Linked DNA regions of Caenorhabditis elegans. The protein of the gene in region 1 purifies or fractionates together with the protein of each later gene. This does not show direct contact. Each region holds a gene or a part of one and is shown on either strand. Other genes may lie near its edges.

What was found.
Region 2: the proteins of C07D8.6 (region 1) and gst-42 fractionate together in Caenorhabditis elegans (co-fractionation; one large-scale study listed by BioGRID). This does not show direct contact.
Region 3: the proteins of C07D8.6 (region 1) and C36A4.4 fractionate together in Caenorhabditis elegans (co-fractionation; one large-scale study listed by BioGRID). This does not show direct contact.
Region 4: the proteins of C07D8.6 (region 1) and eak-7 fractionate together in Caenorhabditis elegans (co-fractionation; one large-scale study listed by BioGRID). This does not show direct contact.

Annotation. Positions count from the first base shown.
Region 1 is NC_003284.9:7,339,959-7,343,302, forward strand, and holds C07D8.6 (NADP-dependent oxidoreductase domain-containing protein), read left to right. Parts: upstream 1-1,550; 5' UTR 1,551-1,577; coding exon 1,578-1,820; intron 1,821-1,871; coding exon 1,872-2,281; intron 2,282-2,328; coding exon 2,329-2,583; intron 2,584-2,636; coding exon 2,637-2,682; 3' UTR 2,683-2,822; downstream 2,823-3,344.
Region 2 is NC_003284.9:11,725,761-11,729,942, reverse strand, and holds gst-42 (putative maleylacetoacetate isomerase), read left to right. Parts: upstream 1-2,006; 5' UTR 2,007-2,146; coding exon 2,147-2,213; intron 2,214-2,263; coding exon 2,264-2,328; intron 2,329-2,372; coding exon 2,373-2,546; intron 2,547-2,637; coding exon 2,638-2,718; intron 2,719-2,767; coding exon 2,768-2,904; intron 2,905-3,328; coding exon 3,329-3,449; 3' UTR 3,450-3,679; downstream 3,680-4,182. Other genes in the region: D1053.3 (Ras family protein), read left to right, coding at 1-80; D1053.2 (Histone-lysine N-methyltransferase, H3 lysine-79 specific), read right to left, coding at 1,200-1,202, 1,277-1,383, 1,438-1,792.
Region 3 is NC_003281.10:3,840,739-3,845,623, reverse strand, and holds C36A4.4 (putative UDP-N-acetylglucosamine pyrophosphorylase), read left to right. Parts: upstream 1-2,009; 5' UTR 2,010-2,013; coding exon 2,014-2,265; intron 2,266-2,319; coding exon 2,320-2,740; intron 2,741-3,243; coding exon 3,244-3,592; intron 3,593-3,642; coding exon 3,643-3,896; intron 3,897-3,953; coding exon 3,954-4,132; 3' UTR 4,133-4,378; downstream 4,379-4,885. Other genes in the region: maph-1.3 (Microtubule-associated protein futsch), read right to left, coding at 1-463, 510-731; C36A4.11 (uncharacterized protein), read right to left, coding at 4,474-4,481, 4,540-4,738.
Region 4 is NC_003282.8:12,563,223-12,567,966, reverse strand, and holds eak-7 (MTOR-associated protein MEAK7), read left to right. Parts: upstream 1-1,983; 5' UTR 1,984-1,985; coding exon 1,986-2,111; intron 2,112-2,166; coding exon 2,167-2,346; intron 2,347-2,393; coding exon 2,394-2,820; intron 2,821-3,264; coding exon 3,265-3,410; intron 3,411-3,491; coding exon 3,492-3,614; intron 3,615-3,674; coding exon 3,675-3,872; 3' UTR 3,873-4,192; downstream 4,193-4,744. Other genes in the region: Protein let-99, read right to left, coding at 1-16, 67-111; hsb-1 (Heat shock factor-binding protein 1), read left to right, coding at 755-835, 890-1,051.

The DNA.
Region 1 (3,344 bases):
TCATGTCCCCTTTACCTCTTTTGTTCTCCCAACTCGTCAGTCTTTTGGGCCCGTCAAAATCTTTTGGTCTTACTGGTACTGTATAGGTATATATTTAATTGTTCATTTTTGAAATGCTGCTTCGTGGTCCAAATAACCTGATACCTTGATATGGATATTTGAAATGAATGTTGCAAATTTAGAATAATTGAAAACCAACAACTATTATTTTTGTTTCAAAGTAAACTATTAATTTCACTGTATTGAATTTCTGTTTGTATATGAACACAATACAAATGCGATAATTTCAGAATTTAAATGAATAAAAAAAGTAAAATCAGAGGAAAAATGGTATCAAAGTCGGAAAACGCACTGATTTTTTATCAAAAAAATATCCTTATAGAAAAATGGAACAATTAAAATTGGTTTTTCCTGTTGTCTCACTTTTGAGTATATTTTCTAACGTTTTTCAAGTAAAACGGATTCAAATTAGAGTTAAAATCACAAAATTCATTTTCAGTGCGATTAAAATCCTGAATCGTTGTTGCGCAGTGTTTTGTTACCCATCCTACACTCTCCCTTTTTTGCCCGCACTCTCTCCACGCGCCTTTTCTTCAAAAATATTGCGCGTCAAATCTGTTATGTGATCTGCATTATGCGCAAACTGTGCAATCACTGCAAGAAAGAGGAAACCGGGAACATTTTTTTGAACGCGGGAACGGAACGGGGCGTGGCTTCCTTGGTCAGTATAAAAGGGAAGAAATCTGGGGCAACTGACATTGTTTTCCATTTTTCCTGCTTATTTTTTCCTTTTTTACGTTGCCGTGACCTCTCTCTCTCTCGCCTATCCTCTCCTTGGCACTCACTTTCCCGGTGCTCATGAATCAAATCATGTTCAAATTAGCTGGTAAAAATGCTGCTTGAAAATAAAATAAAACTAACAGTTCTAGAATGTAGATTGATATCTTACCCTTATCAGTAGACGTTTATAAAATGCGCTTAATTTCGCCTACTACAAACGCACCTCCTAAGTAACACTTTTGAAACACTGAAAATGATACAAATTTCCATTTAAAATTTCGTTATCTCCGAAATACGTCCACGGTGCATGCTTCGAACAATAAAATGTCATCATTTTTTGACCCACAGATTCTCTCTCATTCTCCCCTAACCTCCTGCGTATCATTTATATTTTGCTGGCAAACTATTGCATTTCGGGAACAAGATACACCATTGGTCTCTCTCAAACTGATTCCTACCGACAGCTGCTATCGCTTGATAAAGATGATTTTTTTTGAATATAAATACCGTGAGGCATAAGGTAGATTAAATCAGCGCCCTCAACCCTTTTTTGGAAATAACTTGAATAGTGTCAAGGTTTGTAAGATTTTCATCAGCCCTCCCTCCCCTCTTAGCATTCTCTATTTCTATTTCCGTCTGATCAAATATAGCACAATCGTCTGTTAGTTATCAAACTTTGGACAATTTTATTTGCCGATTTTCTTTTACTCTATACTTTATCACCTCGTTTTGTTCTCAAAAATTTCACATTTCTATTTTTTCAATTTTAGAATCTCCTCAACACTCGGTCCATCACCATGTCTTCCGCAACTGCTTCCATCAAGCTTTCCAACGGAGTTGAGATGCCGGTCATCGGTCTCGGAACCTGGCAGTCAAGCCCCGCCGAAGTCATCACCGCCGTGAAGACCGCCGTCAAAGCTGGCTACCGTCTCATCGATACCGCATCCGTATACCAAAACGAGGAAGCCATCGGAACTGCTATCAAGGAGCTTCTCGAGGAGGGAGTTGTCAAACGTGAGGAGCTGTTCATCACTACTAAGGTTTGCAAAAATAGCATCTTTATATTATTTTATACAAATCCGGTTTTACAGGCTTGGACTCACGAGTTGGCTCCGGGAAAACTGGAGGGTGGACTTCGCGAGTCCCTCAAGAAGCTTCAACTGGAGTACGTCGACTTGTACCTTGCTCACATGCCAGCTGCATTCAACGATGACATGAGCGAGCACATCGCTTCGCCAGTGGAGGACGTCTGGCGTCAGTTTGATGCAGTCTACAAGGCCGGACTTGCCAAGGCTGTCGGTGTCTCCAACTGGAACAACGATCAGATTTCTCGTGCTCTTGCTCTTGGATTGACACCAGTTCACAACTCCCAAGTCGAGCTTCATCTCTACTTCCCACAGCACGACCACGTCGATTTCTGCAAGAAGCACAATATCTCGGTCACTTCCTACGCCACTTTGGGAAGCCCAGGACGTGTCAACTTCACTCTTCCAACTGGACAGTAAGTTTAACAAGTAGCTTGTTCCTTTTCTCAACACCTATTTGCAGGAAATTGGACTGGGCTCCAGCTCCATCCGACCTTCAAGACCAAAATGTGTTGGCTTTGGCTGAGAAAACCCACAAGACTCCAGCCCAGGTGCTCCTCCGCTACGCTCTTGATCGTGGATGCGCAATCCTTCCAAAGTCGATCCAAGAAAATCGCATCAAGGAGAACTTCGAGGTGTTCGACTTCTCTCTCACTGAAGAGGACATTGCCAAGCTCGAGGAGAGCAAGAACTCGCAGCGTCTCTTTCTTCAAGATTTGTAAGTTTATAGGACAAAATGACTGAAACTTTAGTAACCCAACTCTTTTTCAGTATGACCGGACACCCCGAGGATGCCTTTGCTGCTGAGCGCAAGTAGATCACCGTCATCCACAACTGGTTCTTCGTTCATCATTTCAAAGTTCAATTTCCCATTCACATTCGTCACACGTTCTCTTTCCTTTTTGGCATGTATTTCTCAGCATGATTGCTTTATTTCAAAAATAAATACGTTGATCTAAATTTTGAACCCCAAAAAACATCACATAAGTCTGTCATCATCTTTGCCAGCCTGTCAGCCCTACCTTCCTTTTTTCCAGTCGAAAAAAAAACTCGAGTCTCCTACTCTGTGAGATAGTTTGGAAATCCCTAGCTCATCTGCGAGGTTTGGACAGAATTTTTCACAATTTGTGGCTCTTCGCTGTAGAGAATTATGCACAGCTACTTTGATGAGATGCATCCAATAGAGCCTGCAGTCGTTCAACATTATAAGAGCCACCAATTTTCAATTGTGGCGTCACCATATTTTGTCTAATTAAAGACGGCCCTGATTGTGAGACATATTCTGAGTTGTACCGTTTCCCTTCAAAAATAAGAATAAGCAATCAATTTGTTTGGCAAACTCATACTATTCGAGGGCTAATCGTAATATTCATTCGAATTTCTCAAGTTTAAGTTCTTAGAAGGTAAAAAACATAGCGATGAAATATTTTTACAACGCACAAACTTGTTTTCTTCTCAAAATTCTCATATTTTGAAATT
Region 2 (4,182 bases), 4.4 Mb from region 1:
CAGTGAATGAGAAAAAGAAAAATGGTAAAAAAGAAAAAGGAGAGAAAGTTGAAGATTCAAAAGTGTGCATCATAATGTAATGTGAGGAAATATGGAATGTCGTTTGATCTCAAATGGGAATAGATAATGCATTGTTTCGTATTATGGAAAAATTACTGAAACACAACTGTACTTAAATTTTAATGTTTCTTTTCTTGGTGAACTTTTCAGTTCTAGTCAGCTCCCCGAACCTCCCGGTAATTTTGAAATGTATGTTTCCAGTGAACTTGTGATATTGATGATAATTGGATTTTATAACAGTAGTTTGTGTATTTGTGTTTTATTAATTTTTGAGATTGGAATAAATAATTTGTAAATAAACATTTTCTCCACTATTACATTTTTGGATGAAATCTTAACTAAAAGAGGGATTCAAAAACAATTTGAAAATAGCATTTCGATGCTTGAAATGTGTAAAATTTTGCGCGGTAGTTCACTGTATTAATATTTTACAAGACTAAAAAAATCCATTAATCACTTTTTGCATATTACTTTACAGTCCAATTAGAAGAAAAGCTCAATACCAACTAATGAATAACCTAATGGAACATACTTTTTTCAAGAGTTTGTTGTATACTGTGAAGTTACAGCGTAGACATTGTTGAAGCAGCCAGACGGATGACATAGGATTGATCACTGAAAAATGACAGATTATCAAAAGACCAGTTTTTAGAACCAGCTTCATCCCAATCCCTAGTCGACTGATCTTTACCTCTCTTGCGTTTCGACTGATTCAGGTCAGAAATAGAAATGTCGTTGATGGGAACTTTTTTGAGAATACTCAATGGACAAATCGATGACGGATTTTAGGATCACAACGACGAGGGATTCAGAGACTTGCGAGGACAGCAGAGAACGGACAGACTAACATGGAAGGACATTTTGAAACGTTTTATAAATAGGACGGTTGATTTAAAAACAACAATTTATTGGACCAACTTGAGTGATAGTACAGATTGCAAGAAGTTGGTTTTTTAAATCATAAACGTGCTACATTGACGCACTGAGAAGAGACTGAGGGGAAAACAAAGGAGATGAAAGATCTATAGGGAGTGAAGGGGAGATCTTAAATAGAAAATACACCGGAAAATCAGAAGTTGACCCGAGCACGAAGACACGTTGATGAGAGAGGAGTTGGGAAGAAGAAAGGGCGTCGACGATCACTGTAAAAAGTTAATTAATATTAGTTCTGATTTTAACCCATAACCGCAAATATTTCTCATATTCACGAACTTACCTTATTGCGGTTGATCTCAGTGAGATAAAACGGAACTTTGTCACCAGTCCAAGACGTATTGTTTTCCACAAGATGAAGAAGACGCTCGTCCGTGATTTTCACAAAATCTGAAAAAGATATAATTAGTATTTTGATGTACCTAACACCTAGTTTCAACTTACCATCGATACGACGAGAAGTCGAGCTTTGAGAACGGGGACGTGGAACAATCGACTCTGATGAAATGATCCGCGTTCCGTCAATGCATTTCGACAAGATCTCTTTCAGCTCCAACTTGAGCTCCGGCGAAAAACGAACGTTGTTCACCACAATCACCGTGGCTTGGGTCTGGATCTCATTAATACGATCCACCAGATATGCTTTTAATGAACGTGTCTCAACGTCGTTTAAATTGAAAAATAGTTCCTGGATGCTCTCAATTTCATTTAAGCACATCAAAGTGCACTGTGTATTTTTATATTGTCTTTGAAAAAATGACTTGGGTACAGCTTGGGCAAGAGTTGGGAGCAGCCTCATAAAAAAAGTCGTGGGCTGCTTGTTCTCTCAAGGCATCGCCCAAGGCTTACCATAGTTTTGTCTACTTCTTCTTATTCCTTCTAATGTTTTTTGAATCTGCATTTCTCTCTTGGTCTACATATGATGTTGGTAATGTATAGTAGAAGACCACGTGTGTCTGCACAATTACACTATCTCTAGTGTTCTGCGTCTGCAATATACAACAACAAAACCATTTCGTCGACATACACCGTCCAATCTTATCAGTTAGTTCGACATCATTCCGTCTTTGACCCTTTTTGTTTATTTTTCAACTAGTCATTATCATCAGTTATTCTTTCTGAGAATTTACAAAATTATTTTCTGCTTGTAGACATGTCCAACCAAAAGCCAGTTCTGTATTCTTATTGGAGATCATCGTGCTCATGGAGAGTTCGCATCGGTTGGTATTTTAATTATATCAATTTTAACTAGCAAAAATGTTATTTTCAGCGCTTGCTTTGAAAAACGTGGACTACGAATACAAAACTGTCGACTTGCTGTCCGAAGAGGCTAAGGTAAGAGAAAATCAAGCGGTTCTTTAAATTATTTTAAAATTTAGAGCAAACTGAAAGAAATCAACCCAGCTGCAAAAGTACCAACATTTGTTGTGGATGGTCAAGTAATTACTGAAAGTCTTGCGATTATTGAGTATTTGGAAGAAACGCATCCAGACGTTCCACTTTTGCCAAAAGATCCAATCAAGAGAGCTCACGCTAGAGCTATTTCTCTTTTGGTAAGTTTTACGTATTTAGTTGGTTTTTTTCTTAACTTTATACTGCTATTGTTTTACAAAAACTGTAACAATTATGTTTTGAGGTTTACAGGTTGCTTCTGGAATTCAACCTCTTCACAATTTGAAGGTTCTTCAACTTTTGAATAAAAAAGAAGCAGGATTCGGAGGACAGGTTTAATTTCAGAATCTTCAATGTATGTTTTCAATTTTTAAAATTTCAGTTTGCCAAACAGTTTGTTGTCGAAGGTCTCACTGCTCTTGAAATTCTTCTAAAGCAACATTCTGGGAAGTATGCTGTCGGAGATGACGTCACGATTGCGGATCTCTCCATCCCGCCACTTATCTACTCAGCTAACCGGTATGATTATAGGGAGGGTCAGGGAATTTTGGACATAGATAACTTTTTGAGAAAATTTATTATGTTTTAGTAATCTATCCAGAATTTCAATGTATTAGTTTGACATTTTGCGTATTCAAAACCTCGAAAATTTGAACACCTTTTGGGTTACCCTCAAACAACACTGACCAATTTTTCATAGACAGTTACTGAATCATCTTAGCAAGTGATTTAAACGAAAACACATTCCTATTGAAAACAACATCCACTTGTGTGGCAACAACCTTTTTATCGGATTCCTGATTCAAACAAAATGTATTAGTCATTCAACAAACATGAATTGGAAGCGATGAGCGTTTAGGATGAGACATGAGAGATTCACAGATAACCATCAGAATAACCTCCCTTCCAAATCGTTCCGATCGCAATCAAACCGTCATTTCAGATTCAACCTCGATTTGTCGCCATACCCAACAGTGAATCGTATCAATGAGACTCTTGCTGATATCCCCGCCTTTATTGCCGCTCATCCTGATAATCAACCAGATACCGGACTCAATGCTTAGATTCTTATGAATGATTGCGTTATTGGATTGGACATACAAGAGTTAACTATTTGAGAATTAAAAAAAAATGTTTCTTTGTCTCTTAAATTAGCACAAAAGTAATAATAAATTTACAACAGAAAATGTCCGCGATATCCTAAAGCAAGTTGCTTTTTTTAACTTTGTAAACTAACTTTTCTCGTTTTCATACTGAGTGTTTTTTTTTCAAATAAATTAATTTCTTAAAAATATTTTGAACTTTATTCAAACGAAATATCCAATGGAAAATTTTTTAGTATGCGAGTTCCACTGATAACTTTTTTGCGTTCAAAAAAAATGTCCTGCTTTGAAGACAGAATTTTTGATGTTTACCTATTTAGAAGTATGTTTCGAAATTCAAGTTAAACAGTTGCAGACCGGAAGCCTCCAAAAGTCATTTTTTTGTCCTCCTCTTCATGACCAAACTCAATCCCTGGGGATTAGCATCTGAAAACCCAATCGGCAATGTTGTGTCATGGAAACTTTTAGAGAACTTTCGGAAGACTTCCGTGCAAAGAGAACGTGTTTTTACGGGCGAGGTTGGCATAGTCATAGTACTAGTTGGTTGCCACCCACAACACAAGCCGGCCTTTCGATTCATCAAAGTATCCGTTTTTTTCACTCTTCTCCTCCCGCATTCTCCCCCTCTTTTCTTTGTCAGTGTGGTCTGCAAAGTTCAATTTCCAACTTTTCTCATTTTCTCTATCTCTGGCTC
Region 3 (4,885 bases), on another chromosome or scaffold:
GAATATCCAACAACGCATCCTTCGACTTCACGGTGGGCGCGTTGAGGAATGGAAGTGATTTCGCTGCCTTGTCGAGCGATTGTTGGATCCTCGCAAGTGAGCTCGTCCCCGAAATAAGCACTCTGACCGCCGATTGATCCGTCATCGCAGGCCTCCAGAGCAGGACGGCGATGGTTCCATTCTCAGCGGCCGCCTTCTCCACTTCTGCCTCGTTTCCTCCTGCCAACGCCTTTGTGATCACTTCGGAGTCTTTGACGTCTCCAGCCAGAATATACATGGAGAGAACTCCTTTTGCAGCTGACTGGTATATGATGTGTGCCGGATATTTCGGGCTGAACAGTGGCGGTGCAACGGAGAGAAGCTTCGAGTTCGCTTCTTGAATTGCTTTGGCAATCTCTCCACTGCTTCCCGGCTTGGCAGTCTTGAACGGCTTCGTGTTGGTGAACACCGGCAACGGTTTTCCCTGAAAAAAGTAGATTATCAAAATTTTCATTAAAGTTTCTACAAACCTGTTCCAACAGAGCAGACGTGGTTCCGAGGTTACCAAGCGTCGGCGCGGCGAGCAGCACGGCAGAGACGTCCCTGACGTGAGCCACGAATCCTGGGCTTTTTTCGGCGAATCCCCCATCGAGAATGTAGACGCCGTCAAAATCAAACAAGGTGGCTGTGTTGGCCGCACCGCCCAAGACGTAGACGCATGCCTTCGACGACATGATGTATTCTTCCGGCATCTGGAAAGAAGGAGTAATTTTCAACAGTTTTAAGCACGTATACGTAGAAAATGAAAGAGAACGCTGAAAGATTGAATTATGGCGAATTTTATGCCAAAATAATTACAAAAACCCTAATTTCGGAGTTTTTCGCGCTTTTCTGTAGACTTAAGTTCATTTTTCAACCATATTAGCGACTAAAAATGTTCAAAAACTAATCAAAAATGTGAAATAAACGACAAAATTATAGGGAAAATGCAAAAGCTTCTTGGCTGCTGACAAAATTGCAGATTTTTTAGGATTTACAAAAAAAAGGTTTCAGTGGGCGGTGCCAATTCGCAACCACCGCACGCTCATTTCGCAAGCCTCGCACGTTTTTTCAGTGATCTTTTTAAATACCTTTTTTAAAGAAAAACGCGCGAGAATAAACAAATAAACAAATAAACAAAAACGAGACAGAAAAACACGAATGAGCTCTCTCGCCGCCTTATATAGCGCGGTGAGAGACGCAGAGAATGCAGGGAAATCAGAATACGACCGCTGCCGCCGTGGATCAAGATCACTAGTGATATCAGTCTCCTCTTTGTTTGATCTACCAGTAGAAGTGCAGAGCGCCTGCGATGGGTGGATTTTTTTCATTTTCAACTTTTTCAATGTCGCTGAATCAATACGTCATTTCTATTGGAAGCTAGTCTTTTTGGTTATTTTTTAGATTAAGTTTGAGTCTTGCGGTGCTCGAAAAACTCAAAATCTTTTTAAATCCACTGGTATATATATATTGGGAGAATTGAACTCTGTGCATTTTTCCGTCACTGTGTTCGCGTACTTTTAAGTTTTTATGGCGGCAGCGGCGCCATGTTCAGATGTTTTTTTATATGTTTTGTGATCTTTTCATCATTTTCTTGAAGAATTTGCAGATTTTTTTTCATTTTCAGTGAATTTTTCTTAATAAAAACTTTTTTTTTCCATTTAGATTGGATTTCTCCGCATTTTCTTCGGCGAAACAAGAGATTCTCTGTTTTTATTGCATTCTAAAAACGTTAAGCCAACAATCAATATTTTGTCGTGTTTCTTGTTTTCCATCTCCTTGTTTTTAGAGTTTTAAAGTAGGAAACGTGTTAAATAAGTGCAGTTTTTTGTGTCTATCTATTTTCCAAATGAACATTTCTGTAATTAGAGAGAAGCTGCCACACACAGCGTTATGAATAATTATTTTCTTATCTTTGCGCCGTGTATTATCACTTTTTGAATTGTTTTCCACCGGAGAATCGTTTATTTAATTTTGATCATTATTTTCAGTACGATGACCATCACTGCTCCACCAAAAGACGAGATTATCTCAAAGTTTCCGGGCTCTGAGCCACTTCTCAACTTTTACAATGAGCTCTCGGATGCCGAAAAATCGAAGCTTTTCCACCAAATTTCAACTCTAAACCTTTCGGAAGCTCATCAATGGTTCATTGATTCAGCGGATCAACGGGCTCCATCAACTGCGGAAGACCTTAAGCCGGTTCTTGATTCTCAGCATTTTGTACAAGCTGAATTGCATCAAGTGGTAGAGACTTTTAATATTTAGGTAAAACCATCATTAAAATTACATTATTTTCAGATCCTCGATGGTCTCTGGAACAAGGGAATGGATGCTATTGGACGTGGAGAAGTATGTGCAATTGTGCTCGCCGGTGGACAAGCTACACGTCTTGGATCAAGTCAACCGAAAGGAACGATTCCATTGGGAATTAACGCTTCATTTGGAGATTCTCTTTTGGGAATTCAAGCTGCCAAAATTGCACTTCTTCAGGCTCTCGCTGGAGAACGGGAGCATCAGAATCCGGGAAAAATTCACTGGGCAGTTATGACGTCACCTGGAACAGAGGAGGCTACTCGTGAGCATGTGAAGAAACTGGCGGCTCATCATGGATTCGATTTCGATGAACAAATTACTATTTTCTCACAAGATGAAATTGCTGCATACGATGAGCAGGGAAACTTCCTTCTCGGAACTAAAGGATCTGTTGTTGCTGCTCCAAGTATGAGTTTTTACGCAATTCGTGTACTCCTCGAGGAAAACTGTTTTTACGAATTTTTCAGCTATAATTCTGACTTTTTGATTATTTTTTAATCTTCAAAACGAAAAATTATATGACATTTAAAGTATTTTCGGTGTCAATATTGAAAGCAGTATTAATTGCATGGATTTTCACCCAAAACACACTAAAAATATAAATTAGTTGACGATTTGAATTTAAAAAATATCTAAAATTAAGTATTTTATCCGAATACTTAAAAATTTCGTACAAAAAAATAATTATTCTTTCTCGGGGAGTACACCAGCTGCGTAAATCGACACAAAAATTTTAAAAAATGAGTTTTTCAACGAAAAAAAAATCGAATTTTCAATATTTTAAAGATAATGTGTTCTCATCAAACTCAACTTTTTTTAGAACATAAAATCTAGACTTTTTTCTGGATTTCAAAAAAAGAAAATTATCGATTTTCTCACAAAAAACCGAAAAATCATATTTTTTTTCAGACGGCAACGGAGGTCTCTACTCTGCCATCTCTGCTCATTTGCCACGTCTTCGCGCGAAAGGAATCAAATATTTCCATGTGTATTGTGTGGACAACATTCTGTGCAAAGTTGCCGACCCTCATTTCATCGGATTCGCCATTTCAAACGAAGCTGACGTTGCAACCAAGTGTGTTCCGAAGCAAAAAGGAGAACTCGTCGGATCAGTTTGTCTTGATAGAGGACTACCACGTGTCGTTGAATATTCGGAGCTTGGAGCCGAGTTGGCTGAACAAAAGACACCGGATGGAAAATATTTGTTTGGTGCAGGATCTATTGCAAATCACTTTTTCACGATGGATTTCATGGATAGGTTTGTAATTTCAAATTTGGAGAAAAAGCTTAATTTTAAAATAAATACAGAGTCTGCTCTCCATCATCTCGTCTTCCATATCATCGTGCTCACAAGAAGATTTCCTATGTGAATGAGCAGGGAACCATTGTCAAACCGGAAAAACCAAATGGTATCAAGCTGGAGCAGTTTATTTTCGACGTCTTCGAGCTCTCGAAGCGATTTTTCATTTGGGAGGTGGCGAGGAACGAAGAGTTTTCTCCATTGAAAAATGCTCAATCTGTTGGAACTGATTGTTTGAGCACTTGTCAGAGAGATTTGTCCAGTGAGTAGATTTTTCTGTGAATTCAGAATTAAAATTGATTTAAAAACTGATTTTCAGATGTGAACAAGTTGTGGCTGGAACGTGTTCAAGCGAAAGTGACTGCAACTGAAAAGCCGATCTACTTGAAGACAATTGTCTCCTACAACGGAGAGAATCTTCAAGAACTCCGTCATCGTGAAATTTCTGATAGTGCCTTGGAATCCGATCATTCGATTAACAAATTCTTTGTTGTCTAGTCTTCTTTTGTTTCATATTTATACTGATTGCCCTACTCATTCCCCTATCATTTCCCAGCCAACTGTGTTTTATTTATGTTAAAATCCCCGTGATGCTTTCAAATTTCCTTCGGTATTTTCCCCAAAAACCGTAGTTATTAGGCCGATATTATTGCTTGACATCCATTTGTTTTAAATTTCTTAAATTTTCGTAAACTGAAACGAGTTCGAATACAGATTTTGTAAATACTAAAAATGTTAGAATGAGTTGGTACAATTTTATAAATTTAAAAATGACAATTTATTAAAAAAAAAAGTTATCCTTGGAAATGTGCCTTCTGTTGGGAGGATGTATTTAGTCATTAATTTCCTGAAAAGAGCAATAATTTAAACAAGCAAATAACAAAAATTAAAAAAAAAAAACTTACCTAATAGGCCTGCCACGCGGGACTTGTTAGCACCGGATCCAATTCGAAGGCAATCTTCCTCTTCTTGTGCATCTGAGCCACCGTGGCTGTCGAAGATGTCGCAGTAGAAGCTGCTATCCGAACATTCTCCAGACTCTGTAGATCCACCGAAACCACTTTGGATGATGGCTTCTCTGTCGTTCTTCGCCTTTGTTCCCATTTAAGCTCACGCTCTAATATCTCGAATTTCTCCTTCAAAGTCCACTCGGGAGCATCAAAGGGACTTAGCACCGGTTTCCAAAAGTTTCCTGATTCGAATAGAAGAAGAATATTCAAAAACTATTCAGTAGTAATTAAATATAAATAA
Region 4 (4,744 bases), on another chromosome or scaffold:
ATAGAATTTCGTCGAACTGAAAATCAGAATAAAATTTCAAAAGACAAATGTGAAACATTTTAATACCAGATGCGTCGCCTTGAACTTCTCCGATGAGTAGTCGGCAGACATCACGGCAAGACGGCCTAAAACTTGAATTTTGATGGTTTATTGATAAATTTAAGAACTTCTTAAAAGAAAACGAGATTTCATCACGAAAAAAAGCAAGAATGAGGAAAAATTTCTGGAAACTTCCTAAAAATTGCTGAAACGAGTGAAGTTTTGGCGCCGAAGTTTTGTTTACGGACCAAACACACGAAAACACGACTTGTCACACAACTTATTAGCTACAGTAACCCATTCTGCTTTGAAAATTTCTCTTTTTAATTAAAAATTCCTCGATTCAGATGTTTTTTTTTTCTCAAAGTGTTTCTAATAATTATATTTTCCTCGAAATCCACACTATTTTACATAAAACAAATCATCTTATTCTGCTCTTTTCGCCGTTTACACCATCTGTCCTTCTCCAATGACTCCTTCTCTGCGTCTCTTTCACTCTCTCGCCGCCCTCTTTTTCTCTGTCGTCTCTCACTTCGACGTACTTTCTCTCGTGTTGTTGTTCCCGTACTTTTGTGTGTTCCACTGTTTGTGAGATGACGGCTAGTTGCCTGGTACTGGATTCTCACCAGTTTTAATTGATTTTTCATCAAATTTTCTTTAAAAACTGATTAAACTTTGTGATTTTTATCGTATTTTTACAGATTTTCAGTTCAAAATGTCCGATGAGAAGTCTACCACACCAACCGCTCAACTCGACGCTCCAGCCGATGGAAATATGAATGATTTGACGTCGTTGGTACGTAAATACTTGAAAAAAATTGTCAATTTTCTAAAAAATCCTAAAACTCAGATACAAGGAGTTCTGCAACAGACACAGGATCGATTCCAGCACATGTCGGATCAGATTATTCGGCGAATCGATGATATGACAACGAGAATCGATGATTTGGAGAAGAATATCAACGATTTGCTGCAATCGAACCAAGTTGAACATCCGCCAAGCGCTCAATAAGATTGGTACGGAATGAGAAAAATGGGAAACATTCTCAAAAATTTCGGTCGATGTTTTGACCACTCGTTATTTTTGAAAAACAGTGTTGTTTTTGATGTCGACTTTGAAATTTCAAAAAAAAACAATAATATGGGCCGTGGGACCCAATTAGAAATACAGTAAAAAACGCTCTTTGGCCGAATATTTTATAATTTTCATGTATGAAGTCAATCCTTTTATTCCTTCTTAACTTTAGTTTGAAATATATTTAGATTTCCTAGCGCCTTTCCAATCGATTTACCACGTGGTAATCAGGCCGATTGCACCGTTATTCCAAGACTTTATCATTAAAAATTAGTATAAAAATATAGAACTTCACCTATTAATTTTGGCTGAAAAATTCGCCGAAGAGCTCAAAAATGGTCTGAAAGATGCCAAATTTCCACTAAAAAATCAATTTGTAGAGATTATTAATAACTAATCTCTCTTCAATTTCTATTTTTTCCAGCTCTACACTCTTCCCAAATGAATCATCGTCGCTTCCTTCTTCATCATCATCATAATTCCAATTCGTTTTGTGTGCTTCTCTGCGTCTCTCCTACATACATATACTCTTTTCACGTCTTCTTCTTCTTCTTTTTCTACTGATTATGCACGTGTTGAGAGGATTCATGACTACTATGTTGTGCCTCCTGCTTTTAATCTCTTATTCAATAACTTTTGTTGCATTTTATTACGATTTTCGGAATTATTTTATTTATATGTGAAAACACAAATTTTGCCAAAAATTCAAATTTTTGTGCATTTTTAAAAAAAATTTTCAATATGAAACTATTCATCTTACTTTTTCTTCTTCTTCCCTTGAATTTTTTCTCATACTAAATGTTGATTTCTCACAGTTTTTACTAACTATTTCGCATCCGGATTTTCAGATAAAAAACATATAATTTCAGAAATGGGAGCTCAAAATTCGAAGCGAAAAGATCTAAAAAATATTAACGATGAGGATTATGCACATTTTATGGAAAAACTCAAAAAACACACAGATGGAAAGGACAAAATGACGCGAGACCAGTTTGTGGTGAATTAATTTTTAGAAGGAAAATACATTTTAATATAAAATTTTCAAATTCCAGGCAATGTTCATACCGATTCTGGGTGAATATTCATCACAATTCTACTTTCGTTTGGTAAAAAACGAGCCGCAGGGCGTTTTGCTCGCTAAAACAATCCTAAAATGTATTGATACTGGACTGGGACATTTCGATCAGCTCGCCGATATGCTCAGATTCTGTTTTGGAGATCAAAAAGATCAGGTTTCGAATTTATTAATTTAAAGAAAAACTTCTTTTTTTTTTGTCAGATAATGCGAAATGTTGTGAAAATCTTCTGTGAAGGAAACAAATTCACCCGAGAGGATCAGGTCCGTCTCTACGATTATTTCGAAACAGAAAATACAAAACCAGTGAGCGAACTGGAAAGCTTTTTCTCAATGTGCCCACTGTTCGCCTATTGTGCTTCGTTCATTTTCCAACGACTTTTGGATAAAACTGGAGACTCGAAAATGCCAATTCTCTCGGACAAGACTCATTTAATGGGAAATATCGATCAATTAGTGCTCAACTCGCACCTTCCATTCGATCGACGCAAAAATTGGACACTTTTATATTCAAACATGAAACACGGGCAAAGTTTCTCACAATTGGTTAAATGTATTAATGGAGAAGGTCCTTGTATGATTGTGATCAGATCAATGAAAGGACGACGATTTGGGTTTTTCGCCTCGCAAGGTACACAAGAAATGTTGTGTCGATTTACGCAGCTCGTGTACTCCTCGAGAAGAATTTATACCTTATGATTTGCAGAAGATTTTACAGATTTTACTTTTTTTGCAGATTTTCTAGATTTCAGATCTTTCTTTTTGTAGACTGAAACCGAGAAATTGTAGTTTTACAATAGCAAATACATTTTCAAAAATGCTATAAATTATAGATAAATTGATGATTCCAGTTTTAAATATCAAAAAAATTGACAAACAGTTTCAAAAATTGAACATTTCATCCAAAAACTGTAAAATCTTCCTCCACGAGGAATACACGAACTGCGTAAATCCACACATGGCTGTGTTACAAGTTTCGCAGTAATTCTTCATTTTTTCAATTATGATAAAGCAACGGAATTCTAGCAGATACTATTTGAGTACCAATTTTCTCTAAAAATTGAAAATTTTTTAGGTTTTCTCGCGGGACCCCAATACCGTGGCACGGCCGAGTGTTTCCTCTTCCAGCTGGCTCCGAAAATTGCAACTTTTGATGCGACCGGGCGGACTGAGAATTACGTGTACCTAAACTACCAGCAACAGCAACATCCGAATGGATTGGTGAGTATATCCCGCCATGGATCATTCAGTATCTAGAGAACCAGTTTTACGATTTTTAAGTGTGAAATTTTCAAATTTCAGGGAATTGGTGGAACCGAATCCGTATGGCCGTTGTTTATCCACGAGGAGTTTGGCGGTGGAACGTGCCAAAAGAATTCCAGTTCGTTTGAGCCTTGCCACATTGCCGAAGAGGACGAGTTCAAGGTGAATCGGGACTAAAGCCCTTAAAGCCGAAAAAACGAAACAAAAACATGCATTTTCCAGATCAAAACAATCGAGGCTTGGCGCCCGGGCGACAAACCACAGAAATCATTCGAAGAGCAAATCTTGCTCGAGGAACGATCGCCGGAAAAATCGATAATCGACAAGGATCCGGAGGCTCGTGCGGTGCTCGAGTTGGCCGGAAAATCGATGCATTCGGAAGCGTATCGTGATCCGGCTCCCCTGCTCGATGGTGAATAGGCTCCGGAACCTCTAATCCCCAATTGCCACTTTCTCAGTCTTCTTTGATCCTTTACATCACCTGTAATTCCACTTTCATCAGTTTTTGTATCTCCTGTGCTATTTAAACGCTGCAAGACCCATGTGCGCCTTTAAATGATCACTATATCTTTGAATTCATAATACTTTTCCGCCGCCCGTCCCCATGTCCTGCCGCCGTGAGCTAAACAATGGTTGTTAATATTTCGACAATTTTACATGTAAATTTTCACATCCATACGTTTCTGCAATTTTTCAATCAAAAATTCTAGAAATTTTCAAATAAAAATGAATTTTCGATTTTTTCATCATACCAACTAAAACATAACATTTTTATAAGGCTTCCAATTCAAGATGATGAGCTCATTCTCTAACGCGGATTACAAAAAATCATTCAAACTGCGTCCGTCGATCCGTCTCTTCTCGCGTCGACTCCTCGTGTGATTTGCCGCTTCCAACACCCTAGCAGCGACAGCAGTGCTCCATATTTCACCCGTGAGCCGACGTTTCAGCCGATCCAAGAGTTTATCGAAATGTCCGAACATTTTCACGATATTACGTACGTACGTTTTCAGCTCAGAATTCGCATTTATTTTAAGTTCCGATAGTGAAAAATGGTGACAAAAAATTTAAATTCCTGTCAAAAAGTGGGTGAAAGCCATAATTTTGGAAGATAACCAAACATCTCTTGTCTTTTTCTACGATTCATGTATTTTAATTGAGGATTCCATGTCAGAGTCGCGCGGCGTCGGAGCCTCACGCCGGCCGGCCTTCTTCGTCGCTCCTTCAAAAAATATTTTATATATATACAAAAAATATAATATATATGCTCTCAAAAAGACCACATTTTTGAA